Linked DNA regions of Saccharomyces cerevisiae S288C. The protein of the gene in region 2 interacts with the protein of the main gene of each other region in a biochemical or structural test. Each region holds a gene or a part of one and is shown on either strand. Other genes may lie near its edges.

What was found. Proteins that work in one complex are often made in the same cells at the same time.
Region 1: of the proteins of YPK1 (region 2) and MUK1, one has a biochemical effect on the other in vitro, tested with the Saccharomyces cerevisiae proteins (2 studies listed by BioGRID).
Region 3: of the proteins of YPK1 (region 2) and JSN1, one has a biochemical effect on the other in vitro, tested with the Saccharomyces cerevisiae proteins (one study listed by BioGRID).

Annotation. Positions count from the first base shown.
Region 1 is NC_001148.4:419,208-423,286, forward strand, and holds MUK1 (guanine nucleotide exchange factor MUK1), read left to right. Parts: upstream 1-1,740; coding exon 1,741-3,579; downstream 3,580-4,079. Other genes in the region: putative ubiquitin-specific protease UBP16, read left to right, coding at 1-804; YPL071C (uncharacterized protein), read right to left, coding at 841-1,311; BTS1 (farnesyltranstransferase), read right to left, coding at 3,678-4,079. UniProt on the Saccharomyces cerevisiae protein: Putative GTPase-activating protein.
Region 2 is NC_001143.9:203,901-208,316, reverse strand, and holds YPK1 (serine/threonine protein kinase YPK1), read right to left. Parts: upstream 2,611-4,416; coding exon 568-2,610; downstream 1-567. Other genes in the region: RRN3 (rDNA-binding RNA polymerase I transcriptional factor), read right to left, coding at 1-70; phosphoglucomutase PGM1, read right to left, coding at 3,064-4,416. UniProt on the Saccharomyces cerevisiae protein: Plays an essential role in the proliferation of yeast cells. Involved in a signaling pathway, required for optimal cell wall integrity, that acts in parallel with the PKC1-SLT2-dependent pathway.
Region 3 is NC_001142.9:594,561-599,999, reverse strand, and holds JSN1 (Jsn1p), read left to right. Parts: upstream 1-1,663; coding exon 1,664-4,939; downstream 4,940-5,439. Other genes in the region: BUD4 (Bud4p), read right to left, coding at 1-1,265.

The DNA of each region.
Region 1 (4,079 bases), on a different chromosome or scaffold from region 2:
GAACTGTCCGTACCACAACAAACATCAGAGAATCTATCCAATATTCTAGCACACGATGAAACAGAAATCATAGACGACTATTCATGCCTGATCTGCCAAATAAGAGCAATCTTAAACCATGAAGAATATAGAAATTTCAAGGACTGTACCCCGGATGAAATTTTAATGTTGGACAGATTGAAAAATTATGCCACTAAAGCCCCAATTAACGAAAATTTACCATTCGAAGTAGAACAGTACGTCAAGCGTTACTCAAAGGGCAATTTGCAGGTATCTAATATAAAGGGAAAGGTCATCAAAAAAGATGTAGTAGTACAACTGCCAGACATATTAATTGTTCACTTATCGAGATCCACATTCAATGGTATTACATATTCTAGAAATCCCTGCAATGTCAAATTTGGAGAAAGAATAACACTTTCTGAATATACATTGGCTGAGAGTGGGACAATAACAGAAAACAGGCAAGTCAAATATAATTTGAAAAGTGTTGTGAAACACACCGGTTCTCATTCGAGTGGACACTATATGTGTTACAGACGCAAGACTGAAATTCGTTTCGGGAAGGAGGATGAATCTTCCTTCAGAAGAGCACCAGTTGTCAACAATGAAGTTAACAAGAATCGCGAGCAAAACGTTGCACATAATGATTACAAAAAAAGCAGATATAAAAAAGTCAAAAACGCCCTGCGGTATCCTTATTGGCAAATATCTGATACCGCCATAAAGGAATCTACCGCTTCAACTGTCTTGAATGAACAGAAATATGCTTATATGCTATACTACGAACGTGTAAATAAATAACCGCCCTGTACATAGGTATATTATAATAATAGTAAGTTACGCATCCATATCCACATCAGTATCCACTGCCATCATTTCAACATCGGTATCAGCCTCTCCATCATAAGTGTATTTCGAAGTCATTTGATTATGGAACCACTTCCACCAGCTTAGATAAGCAATTTCCTTATAATCTACCCATTTTATTATTTGTAGCCTTTTTTCTCTCAAACGTTCCCATATTTTGTCATAAAACAAGTCATTGTCGCCGCGTTTACTTGTGGAACACTTGATGATCTCTTTCAGGACCTTATCATCAATAGCGTCTGTGAATACTATATTGTTATGAATAAGATTGTTATCATCTGCATGTCCGTTCTTGGGCCCTTTATCATTTAAGGATAAATTCTCTAAATCTATAATTAGTCTTTTTCTTTTATAATTATCAATTCCTATTGGGTCTGGAGAATGATTTCTTTTCCTAATGTGGTTGGGATTGCCATTACTTCTTGCAAACCGGGAACTCATGGAATGAAAAAGTCATTTAAACGTGCCACTAGTTTTACTATCTGCTAATCGTTCTAGACGTGTAATATAAATCATATCCGAGCGCCGTTGTTGAATAATTTAATGCCTTCGTATTACATACATTTTGAAATTTGCTTTCGTAAAAGAGCGGTTCCCGGATAAAAAAGTGTGCAAATAACCGAGCCTTATTTGATTTCCAGTAAAGACCCAACCAAACGCATCATTGAAGCAAAAATAGATTAAAACTTACTGTTGTTCGTCTATTGAATTTTGTTCGGATTGGTGTGGTGTTTAATATCTTGGGCAGAAAGAGAATTGGCTTTATAGACACTCATAAAATCATCATTCCCCTTAGAGCAAAAGGTATTTTTAGAAGCCAAGAAGAAGAGCAGATAAAAAAGAAGTACGCCCTCTAACAATAAAAGTCAAATGGCTAGACAATTATTCACTCCTCCGATAACCAATCCAAGGTTTGACCCTAATCAATCCATCAGGGAATCATACAAGAACACAACTGGCGGCATGCAATTTCAACAAAATCTACATGAGGATCAAAATGACAATGAGAGAAGTAGCTGTGATGGTGATGAAAACTCTACAACAGGAGAAAGGCTAGAAAACAATAAGTCTCCTATATTGACAAAACAAGAAATTGACGAAGCGTTGAACACTGTCACCAATTTACCTCCAGAATTATCAAAATTAATTGACATTTTTATTGATGACCTAAAGCAGCCAAAGTACGTACGGCCACTATCAGTACTGCAATTGTCTAGTCTTTTCCAAAGCTTTTACATAAAATTTGATAAAGCATCATTCCAGCACGTCAGTTCAGCGAATAATAATGGCTATTATTTTTCTGGCGGGGGCTCTAGTTCATTCTTGGCTGCCAAAGAAACGTTAAGTAGTGGTCTTAGCGGAATTTTTGGCAGAAGTAGGAGTAGTAGTGGAAATTCACTTATGAGGCCAAGAAGATCTTCATCGCTTTTCAGTAATGAGTCAATATCAAATTCAACTAATGCCACACAAATGTTGTCACCTGAAGAGATAAAAAAGCAATTGAAAATCAACGAATTAAACAACATGAAAATCGAAAAATATATGGAACTTTGTGAAAGAGATGTTTTTAAGAAAATTCTTATAGTAGGCACATCCGTATCTTCACCGAATAAAATGAAAACCTTCAAACCACACCAATTACAAACTTTCAAGGTTGGAAATCTATTTAGAAACAGTGTTGAATTCACAGAATACAATAAGTTGTTGAATGAAAAAATCCTCTGTTTGTCCAAACTCTCAACAATGAATAAAATCAATTTGATAAAGTTTCTGAGTCTTAATAATGGCATTGATCCGGAACCAAAGTTTGAAGAGATCAAAGATATTTTATATGAGTTTACTTATCATTCGATTTCACCATGTGAAAAGATAAAGGCCCTACTGAAACTACATGAAATCATGACATATTCCCAAGAAATGTCTAATGATGATTATCTTTCGTTGCTAATCTACTACATTATTACGATTGTTCCACGGGATATTTTCTTGAATGCCGAATTCATCAGGCTGTTCAGATATAAGAAAAAGCTGGTCGAAACAGAATCCTTTGCATTAACCAATCTAGAAGCTGCATTAGTTTTTGTTGAAGGCTTAACCAAAAATGATTTTTCAAATGAGCTACAAGATAAATTGACTGTAAATGAAAGTAAAATTTTAGAAAATTCAATCAGCAGTAGAGTCTCATTGCCATCAAAAACTGCTATAATGCATAAAAACAACGGTAATAACGGCAGTAACCTAGGTGACATCGTGACTCCTACTATCCAAAGGCCAGATGTTACAAGATCGAATTCGTATGATGGCTTCAGGACCGTTTTTGATTCATCATTAAAAAATATCATCGGAAAAATTAGGTCATATACTCCACCACATCCTAACAATACTAGCAATAATAACCTTCACAGTAGCAACAACTTAAACATACCACGAAGTTCGTCTCAATTATCCATGGAATTGAGCAATAGAGATACAACAGAGATGTCTAGGGATGGCTCACGATCAACTTCATCATCTTCACGATCTTCAGCATCTTTAGAGCACGGAAATCGCGAATTTACCGGCGATTTGACAGTAACCGCTAGCATTAACGGTGCTGATAAAAAGGAGTTTCAGAAATCGTGGAAAAAATATAAAGGCTATAAATTTGAAGATTTGACTATTTGCGAACTAAGAGATCTTTTTGAGATATATCAAAAGATGATGCAATGAAACGTATATATGAAATCGTATGTATAGATGCGAAAGAGGAGGAGAGAAGGCTTTATTTCTGACTATCTTCCTCCACTAATTTGATTGATCAATTTATTTCACAATTCGGATAAGTGGTCTATTATATATAACAATTCGTCATGTAAATTGGTGGCGGTGTCGGAATGCGAAGCCAAATCAGGTAAATACTTATTTTCATTATCATTTTTTATCATATTCACTAATTGATTAATAAAATTTTTGGTGTAGGCCAATGAATTGGTGTCGAATTCCAGTATTTGAATCAGCTTTAGTTTTATATCTTTATCACTTGTCCTCAACAGGAGAATTCTTAGAATTTCATTGTGTTGCTCAGTTTGACCTTTCGTTTTAGTGAAGTTAAGGGCGTGGACGATGGGAAAAGATAACTTCCCCTCTGTAATGTCCTCAGCAAAGCCTTTTTCGCTGGACATTTGGAAATCTTTCAAATTCAAGTAATCATCTCTAATCTGATAAATAAT
Region 2 (4,416 bases):
TTTTTTTTTGATCTATAGGAGCTACAAAGTCCTGGGGTGGTCGTTTACTTGTATTCTCAAAAGCCATCATCTTGTCAGCTGTTGTCTTGCACAAAAGTTATTTCTTTACCAGACAATGTATCCGTTCGTGGTTAAGGTAAGAATTTTAACAATGGGGTCTTGGGTTAATTTAAAGTCGAACGCTGATTAAAACAACCTTTATATTTTTAAAAGGAGAAGCTACTGCAAACGAGAGATGCTCATCAAAATATCTTTTATACAAGGAGAAAATTTTCAACACCTTTTTTTTTTTTTATTTTCTGCCGCCCCATCGACACGGATCTCGGAAGGGTAAGAGAGGAAATCCTTTATCTAATCAGAATAAGCTGAGGCAATACGCTATGACCATGAGACACAAGCCACACATGTGTGAAGTATTGCCCACGTTCGAAATATAAATCCTAGAACTTAAATTGCGCCATTGGTACAGTTGCTTCATCTTGAACACAGTAAGTAACGGAAAAGAAAACCTTTCTTTTTATATAAAGTATGTCATGAGTAAACTAGTTGATAATGTATTCACTAAGTCTATCTAATGCTTCTACCTTGCACCATTGAGCTACCTAGCTGTTCATTTCCAACGTATGTCCAGCCACCAAATTGCTTTTGAACACTTTCACTCAAGTATTCATCTACCACACTATCAATTGGCTTCTCCCTAGTGAATTCCTCATCGAAATTACTAGTATCCATGGAATTACTAACAGCTGGTTTATATGGTGGAATATAACCCTTCATCAACAGGCGCTTCCATGATAATTGGCTGAAAAAAGGATGGTTCCGAATTTCGTCGGCACCATTGTAGCCCAATCTTCTTGTCGGATCACGGCTCAATAATCCAATCAATAGATCCTTTGCATCTCTATCAAATCCATCTGGGAAAACTAGTGGCTCCTGTAGAATCTTCTTATACATTTTTGGAACATCTTCATCATAATAAGGAGGAAGACCTGTGAGCATCTCGTATAACAAGACTCCCAATGTCCACCAATCTACTGCCTTTGTATAGCCTAAACCTAGCAATAGTTCTGGTGCCAAGTATTCTGGGGTCCCACAAAAAGTATCTGTCTTATCATCATCCTTCATATTCAATTTGCATAGCCCGAAATCACAAAGGGCAATGTGGCCTTGATAATCCAATAAAATATTCTCTGGTTTCAAATCACGATAGACAACATCTAGTTTATGCAAGTTGTCTAGCGCACATAACAATTCTGCGGTATAAAATCTGGCACGTGATAAATCAAACCTTCCTTCCTTTTGTAGATGATAAAACAACTCACCACCATTGATAAACGCTAAAACAAAGTATAATTTTTCCGGTGATTGGAAAGAAAACTTCAAAGGTACAATAAATGGACAATCAACACGTGCTAGAACGGTTCTTTCTGCCAAAGTATGCGTGACTTCGGATTTAGAGACAATGTATGATTTTCTGATTGCCTTCAAAGCGTATACTTTTTGTGTATCTTTCTTTCTGACTTGCATCACTTTACCAAACGAACCCTTACCGATAACTTTCAAAAGATCGAAATCATCGATGGACAAAGGTTTATTTCTGGAAGGTTTATAATCAATACTAATATTGATCTTACCCAAGCCATTATCCAATGTGATCCAGTGGTGATTATATAGTCTAATACTAGCTGCAGAGTCAAAACTTAAGTTGATGGGCAAATGGAAAGAATCTAAATGTATATCTTGATTGGAATTTATTTTATCAAAAATGGTCTGTAGCTTCTCGTCTTGCAAACCCATCTCCTGTTGCCATGTCTTCGAGGGCAAAAGAATGGACGGAATTCTTGCAAATACATCAATCTTTAAATAAGGTAATTTCCTTGTCACATCAAAGGTAGATATCTTATTGAAACCAGGTTTAGCGATCGTACCATACTCTGCTTCAATAGTTGCAACTGTATTATCAAATTCAATGGTGAAATATAGTAAGGGATTTAAGGTCGAAGACCCTGGTAACATGATAGTAGATGGGATGAACTTTGCTGCTGACTCGCTAGAGATCAAATCTTCATCAGCTGGACCTTGGTTCTTTATTTGAACACGGGACAGTTGTGCAATTAAAGCATCTACTTCTTTACTAATCTCCTTATGTGGCGGTGGAACACCCGAGGCCAATAGTTTATTCAATATTTGCTCGCTTGAGGTAATCGGAAAAGGTAAAATAAAGTCATCACCATTATATACTTTGATAGTCATCATTCCTGAACTTGAGGTGGCATCATTGGGTGTCCCTGTAGAACCAATATTTGCTGTTTCATCTAAATTTTGAGATGAGTTCGTGTTTTCTGAATTACCACCATTTGAATCTCGTACAGTAGAGGTCGATGAGGATGCATCGTATGAAACACGAACCGGGACCACTGATGAATTTGATGGATTTATCGTGCCCTTCCTGTCTAAAGATGAACGAGTAATTGAAGCATCATGTTCCCCCGCAGTTGCTTGATTATTCTGCTGTTCTTCCTTTTTAGAGGAGTGAAAAAACCCACTATGTTTGGCTTCTTTTTCTTCTTTAGATTTTCCAAACTTAAACTTTGACTTCCAAGAATACATTTTCAGGAACTGTATTAATGTTTGTTGATATGAGAGGAACTTTGAAGTGTCAATTTCCCGCTGTATACAAAGAAATTGTAGAGTAATCTATATCAAAGAATATAAAGGCTTTGAAATTTAACCAAACACAAACAAACCAATTCTAAAAAGTATGGGAGCGAAAAATAACTCAACTGTTGTTGGTATGACGATAGTGTTGATTACCGTTGGCTCGTTCGGGATAAGCATTTTTTAAGCCTTCCAATAGGGGCATGTTTTGATCTTGTTTTCCTGTAGCGCGGCTCTGCCGCGAAGAAAGTCGCGAGTAACGAAAAACAAAAACAATGTTGTATTATGAAGCTAATTGATAAGTCAATCAGCAAAAAATAGATATACTACATATATCCTCTACATATAAATTAAGATCAGTTAAAACATCTTTGGAAAATTAGTGCTTGTTCAAGACCAATAATTCTATGTGCGGACTGTTGGTTCGTCTGTTCCTAAAATTTCTTTAAATCTTAAGAATTTTACAATGGAGTTGATGACGGGTTTCAAGAAGACGTCAGCTGTTTGGCCATAGTTCTCCTTTTTATCAGTATACTTTTCTACGTATAATCTTATTGTTGCACCAGAACTGCCTGTGCCGGATAACCTCAAAACAAATTTAGTCCCATTCGAAAACTTTACGAAAAGGCCTTGATTTTCAGAGATGGAGCCATCTAGATCTCTATACGAAAAATCACCACAATCGATAACGGTTAAAGACTCATCAGCTGGGAAGTGGGAGCCACAAACGTTTGGCCTTGATACAAATTCACTCAAAAGAGCTACAACTTTTTCGGCCTGCTCGCATTCGATATGTTCGTAATCGTATCTTGTGAAGAAAGTACGGCCATACTCGTTCCAAAATTCGTCCTGAATAGTTTTGATCGAAGCTTCCTTTTCAGGGTTACGCCTATGGTAGATAGCCAAGATATTTAACCAAGCAATAATGGCCCATAGACCGTCCTTTTCTCTGATATGATTGGAACCTGTACCGAAGGATTCTTCACCACAGATTGATAGCTTTTTAGCATCAAATAAGGCACAGAAGAATTTCCAGCCGGTTGGAACTTCGTAACATCTTAATCCCTTTTTTGCTGCAACACGATCAATGGCTGAGGATGTAGGAAATGAACGTGCCAAGCCATAAATACCTTGTTTGGCGAAGTATGGAATTTCGGGTGCATATTCGGCAATAATGGCAACAGAATCACCTGGCGAAACGAAAGCAGGGCCATAACCGTAAATCATATTCCTATCACCATCACCATCGGAGGCTGCTCCAAAGGCAATTTTTTCGCGGTCAACCCTGTCAACAAGAGTTCGTGCATAGGTTAGATTCGGATCGGGATGTAAACCGCCGAAATCAGGTAAAGGGTGCCAATTTTGAAGAACTTCCTCTGCCGGTAAACCAAATTCATCAACAAATATAGCCTTACCATATGGTCCTGTAATACCATTTAAGGAGTCAAACAACAACTTCCACCCTTTGTCTTTGCGCTGTTTCGCTAAGAAGCTTTTAATTAAGTCAAAATCAAAAATTTCCTTCAGAAATTGAACGTATGCTTTGGCAGGATCAATTATGTCCACTAACAATGGGCCATATTTTTGGTTTTTACCAAGCTTGTTCAAATTCAACTTGGGGAAGTTCTTTATAATTTTATAGTGAGTTAATTTTTTAGACGCTTCCCAGATAGCGTTAGTGACACTCTCTGGAGCTGGCCCACCATTAGGTAAATTATACTTGATACCTAAATCATTCTCTGGACCGCCTGGGTTGTG
Region 3 (5,439 bases), on a different chromosome or scaffold from region 2:
GACTTTGTAGATGTTGAAATATTTGCGTCTGTTTCTTTGTCTTCATTCCATACGTCATCCGATGTAGCATTAAGATCTTTGAATTTGGGTTCACTGTGCGCTAGAGAATCTTCCTGTGAAAATTCTTGAACATTAGCATTGGTCCCTTTATTAGAGTATACTATGGACCTAGTGTCATTTTCACCCAAAAAGGTAACGGGCTCATTGCTGCAACCTTCGTCAAGAACTTTTTTCTCATCAAAAGCATCATCGATATGTTCCATATTCTGTTGAAGGTCCCGCACAACATCGTTTTCAATAAGCGCATCCGCATCAGTAGTGACTGGATTATTTTGGCTGGAATCAGCACCCGGCAGATTCGTTGAAATGTTTAAATCCTCCACAGAGGCTGTTGGCGATCTTGAATCAGAATGTGAATTGTTACTAGTGTTCAACAATTTACTTGGAAGGTTACATTTCTCATCGACTGGCGTCATTTCGGGCGTTGATGACATACAAAATGGTAATTCTGGGATTGTTTTCGTATCTAGTTCTCGTCCTGTGCTATCAACTGAGGTGTCAGATACTAGACTTTTGTCTGATTCGTTGGGATTCAATGTGAAATCAAGATTGAGCTTATTAATCGACACTGCGTTAGTTATTGGAATCCTTGATGGAGAGTGTAATATTTGAGGTGACTGTGTTAAACATGTGTATGCATCTTCTTCCTCTTCATCTTCGTCATCGTAATTCGTTTCAATTTCAATAGAACTTCTGTGGATGGGCGATTCTGGATACGACAGCAGTGGTTGAGTCGATTTCAAAGTAAATTTAAGGGGAGAGCTGCTAAGTTTTACGGGCTTTTCCTCATCACGGGCTAGTTTATCTATATCTTGTGCCATATTTTTCAGATTATTAAGCACTTTGGGAGAATTGGCATGACCAAGTGCCCCGTTGGCAACAGAGTTTTTAATCCGTTCCTGATGCACAGCGGCTGGAGACTCTTCAAGTTCCGAATTTACACGTAAGAGACCCAAATTAAGGCTTTCATTTGAGATGGTAGACATCTTAGAAGGTGATCGACCTCTACTATTTTCTGTAGCATTCGACCTAGTATTGTGTTTGACCAACATTTCCATGGTATCATCGCCTATTTCCTGCAGCGGAAGCTTCCAGTTGTGTGGTGTATCTTCGGAACCATTTTGCGTGATATTAGACTTTGTTTGTTCCATTTCATTGTCTATCTCCTTCAGTAGAGAATCTACGGTACTCTCTGCGTCGTGCATGCTTCTGTACTTTTGTTTTTATATAATTTAATGAACTAAAAAATTCTTCTTGCACAGACTGAATCAAAGAAATATACACCAAACCAACGAAGTTTAGTGAATGGAGATGTTCCCTTCTAAGTGTTTCCTTTGCATAAATAAACATTATTGTTTTCTCGAGGAATATTTCATTGTTGTTTACCTTTTTCCAAATCGGGTCATCTATTCGTTCCTCGCGACAATGTCTCTTTTTCATTTGGACAAATTACCCGCCGACAATTATTGGGACAAAGGGGGGCGTTTCTCGTAGGATGACCAATGGCGCATAGAGATGAATAGTTAAAACAATAAGAGGCACTTCGAGAGATTTGTGTGTATGTGTGAGAAAGAGCGTGAACGTCTATTTATTCCTTCTTAAGATGGATAAAAGTAAGCAGATGAACATCAACAACTTGTCCAACATCCCCGAGGTGATTGACCCTGGCATCACTATCCCAATATACGAGGAAGAATACGAGAACAATGGAGAGAGTAATAGCCAACTGCAGCAACAACCCCAAAAGCTTGGATCATATAGGTCGCGAGCAGGAAAATTTTCTAATACATTGAGTAACCTTTTGCCCTCCATCAGTGCCAAGTTACACCATTCGAAGAAAAATAGTCACGGAAAGAACGGTGCTGAGTTTTCCTCTAGCAACAACAGTTCCCAATCTACGGTGGCGTCCAAGACACCAAGGGCCAGCCCTTCCAGGAGTAAGATGATGGAAAGTTCTATAGACGGTGTAACTATGGATAGACCTGGCAGTTTAACCCCTCCTCAAGACATGGAAAAATTGGTGCATTTTCCTGACTCGAGTAATAACTTCTTAATTCCTGCCCCCCGAGGATCTAGCGACTCGTTTAACTTGCCACATCAGATCTCGAGGACGAGAAACAACACAATGTCTTCTCAGATAACTTCCATTTCATCAATCGCCCCCAAGCCTCGTACTTCGAGCGGAATATGGTCTTCAAATGCTAGTGCGAACGATCCCATGCAACAGCACCTTTTGCAACAATTGCAACCTACGACAAGCAATAATACAACTAATTCAAACACGCTCAACGATTATTCGACAAAAACTGCATATTTTGACAACATGGTATCTACTAGTGGAAGCCAAATGGCAGATAATAAGATGAATACGAATAACTTGGCTATCCCAAACTCTGTTTGGTCAAATACCAGACAGAGATCTCAATCCAACGCGTCTAGCATATATACCGACGCTCCACTGTACGAACAGCCCGCTCGTGCCAGTATTTCATCGCACTATACTATTCCAACACAGGAATCTCCATTGATTGCTGATGAAATAGATCCGCAATCCATCAATTGGGTAACAATGGACCCCACTGTACCATCAATAAACCAAATATCGAACCTTTTACCCACAAATACCATTTCTATTTCCAACGTTTTTCCCCTACAGCACCAGCAGCCACAATTAAATAACGCGATAAACTTAACAAGTACTTCCTTGGCAACCCTATGCTCCAAATATGGTGAAGTCATATCTGCTAGGACTTTAAGGAATTTAAACATGGCTTTAGTTGAATTTTCTTCCGTGGAAAGTGCCGTAAAAGCCTTAGATAGTTTACAGGGCAAGGAGGTATCTATGATTGGAGCACCAAGTAAAATTTCATTTGCCAAAATCTTACCTATGCATCAACAACCCCCACAATTTCTTCTCAATTCTCAAGGCTTGCCATTGGGTTTAGAAAACAACAATTTGCAACCACAGCCTTTATTACAGGAGCAGTTATTCAATGGAGCTGTGACTTTCCAACAACAAGGAAATGTTTCTATACCTGTATTTAACCAGCAATCACAACAATCGCAGCACCAAAACCATAGTTCGGGTTCTGCTGGTTTTAGCAATGTTCTCCATGGTTATAATAATAACAATAGTATGCACGGAAACAACAATAACTCAGCAAATGAAAAAGAACAATGTCCTTTCCCTCTACCACCACCTAACGTTAACGAAAAGGAAGATTTGTTAAGAGAGATCATCGAACTTTTTGAAGCAAATTCCGATGAATACCAAATCAATTCGTTGATAAAAAAATCGCTGAATCACAAAGGCACTTCCGATACGCAAAACTTTGGACCTTTACCAGAACCATTGTCTGGCAGGGAGTTCGATCCACCAAAATTACGCGAATTGCGAAAATCAATCGATTCAAACGCATTTTCCGACTTAGAGATCGAACAGTTGGCTATTGCAATGCTTGACGAATTGCCCGAATTGAGTTCAGATTACTTGGGTAACACTATCGTTCAAAAATTATTTGAACATTCATCTGATATTATTAAAGACATCATGCTGAGGAAAACAAGCAAATACCTAACCTCTATGGGTGTTCACAAAAACGGAACATGGGCTTGTCAGAAGATGATCACTATGGCGCATACTCCGAGACAAATCATGCAAGTGACGCAAGGGGTCAAGGACTACTGTACTCCATTAATCAATGACCAATTCGGAAATTATGTCATACAGTGCGTTTTGAAATTTGGATTCCCCTGGAACCAGTTTATTTTTGAAAGTATAATAGCTAATTTTTGGGTTATTGTTCAGAATAGATATGGTGCAAGGGCAGTCAGAGCTTGTTTAGAGGCACATGACATTGTAACTCCTGAACAATCAATAGTTTTGAGTGCAATGATCGTTACATATGCTGAATATCTAAGCACTAATAGCAATGGTGCGTTGTTAGTAACGTGGTTTTTAGATACTAGTGTTTTACCCAACAGACATTCTATCTTGGCACCAAGATTGACGAAAAGAATTGTAGAGTTATGTGGCCACAGATTGGCTTCTTTGACTATTTTGAAGGTCTTGAATTACAGAGGGGATGATAACGCTAGAAAAATCATCCTAGATTCCCTATTTGGAAACGTGAACGCACACGATTCTTCGCCACCAAAGGAATTAACAAAGCTTTTATGTGAAACAAATTATGGCCCAACCTTTGTCCATAAAGTTTTAGCAATGCCATTATTAGAAGATGACTTAAGAGCCCACATCATTAAACAAGTCAGAAAAGTATTGACGGATTCTACTCAAATCCAACCAAGCCGCCGTTTATTGGAAGAAGTCGGGTTGGCATCACCCTCTAGTACTCATAACAAGACAAAACAACAACAGCAGCAGCATCATAACAGCAGCATTTCGCACATGTTCGCCACTCCTGATACTTCTGGACAACACATGAGAGGTCTTTCTGTTTCTAGCGTTAAAAGTGGTGGATCTAAACATACCACAATGAACACCACGACTACAAATGGTTCTTCTGCCTCTACATTATCCCCGGGCCAACCATTGAATGCCAATTCTAATTCTTCAATGGGCTATTTTAGTTATCCTGGCGTCTTCCCTGTCAGCGGCTTTTCAGGCAACGCCAGTAATGGATATGCTATGAACAACGATGACTTAAGTTCCCAGTTTGATATGCTAAACTTTAATAACGGAACCCGTTTATCGTTGCCACAACTGAGCCTAACTAACCATAACAACACTACTATGGAATTAGTAAACAATGTTGGCTCCTCACAACCTCATACGAACAACAACAACAATAATAACAACACGAACTATAACGACGATAACACCGTTTTTGAAACTCTGACTTTACACTCTGCAAACTGACGTCCCCATGTTTTCTTTTATTTCCGTCATCATTGGGAGACCACGCCGTTTTCTTCTCATACCTGCATCCATTCAAAACTATCTCATTTACCCCCAACGGTTTTATGGTTCAAATCCTAATAGAATATGAGCGAGCTAATGAAGAATTTGGGCATTTTCATTACTGGGAAGACGTGTCTTTTTCAAGCCATCATATCGCCAAATTTTTTTTCTACACCTAATCATGATTAAATAAATCCATAAAGTTTTATACAGTTTTTAAAAATATCATCATTTATTACCCAGATGTGTTAATGAACATTTATAGTCATCATTACTAGGCTTTCATTACTACTGAGGTTACCCGCCTATGGACCTTCCTTGGTAAAGGAACTTGTTTTAAAATTTGCCTTTTAACAAATTTAGTGATATGATTATCAAAAAAGGCGTGGCAAAATACATAACACCAAATTTAACTGTGCCTGTGTGTTACTTTCTTTTGTCCATACTTCACCAGTTTT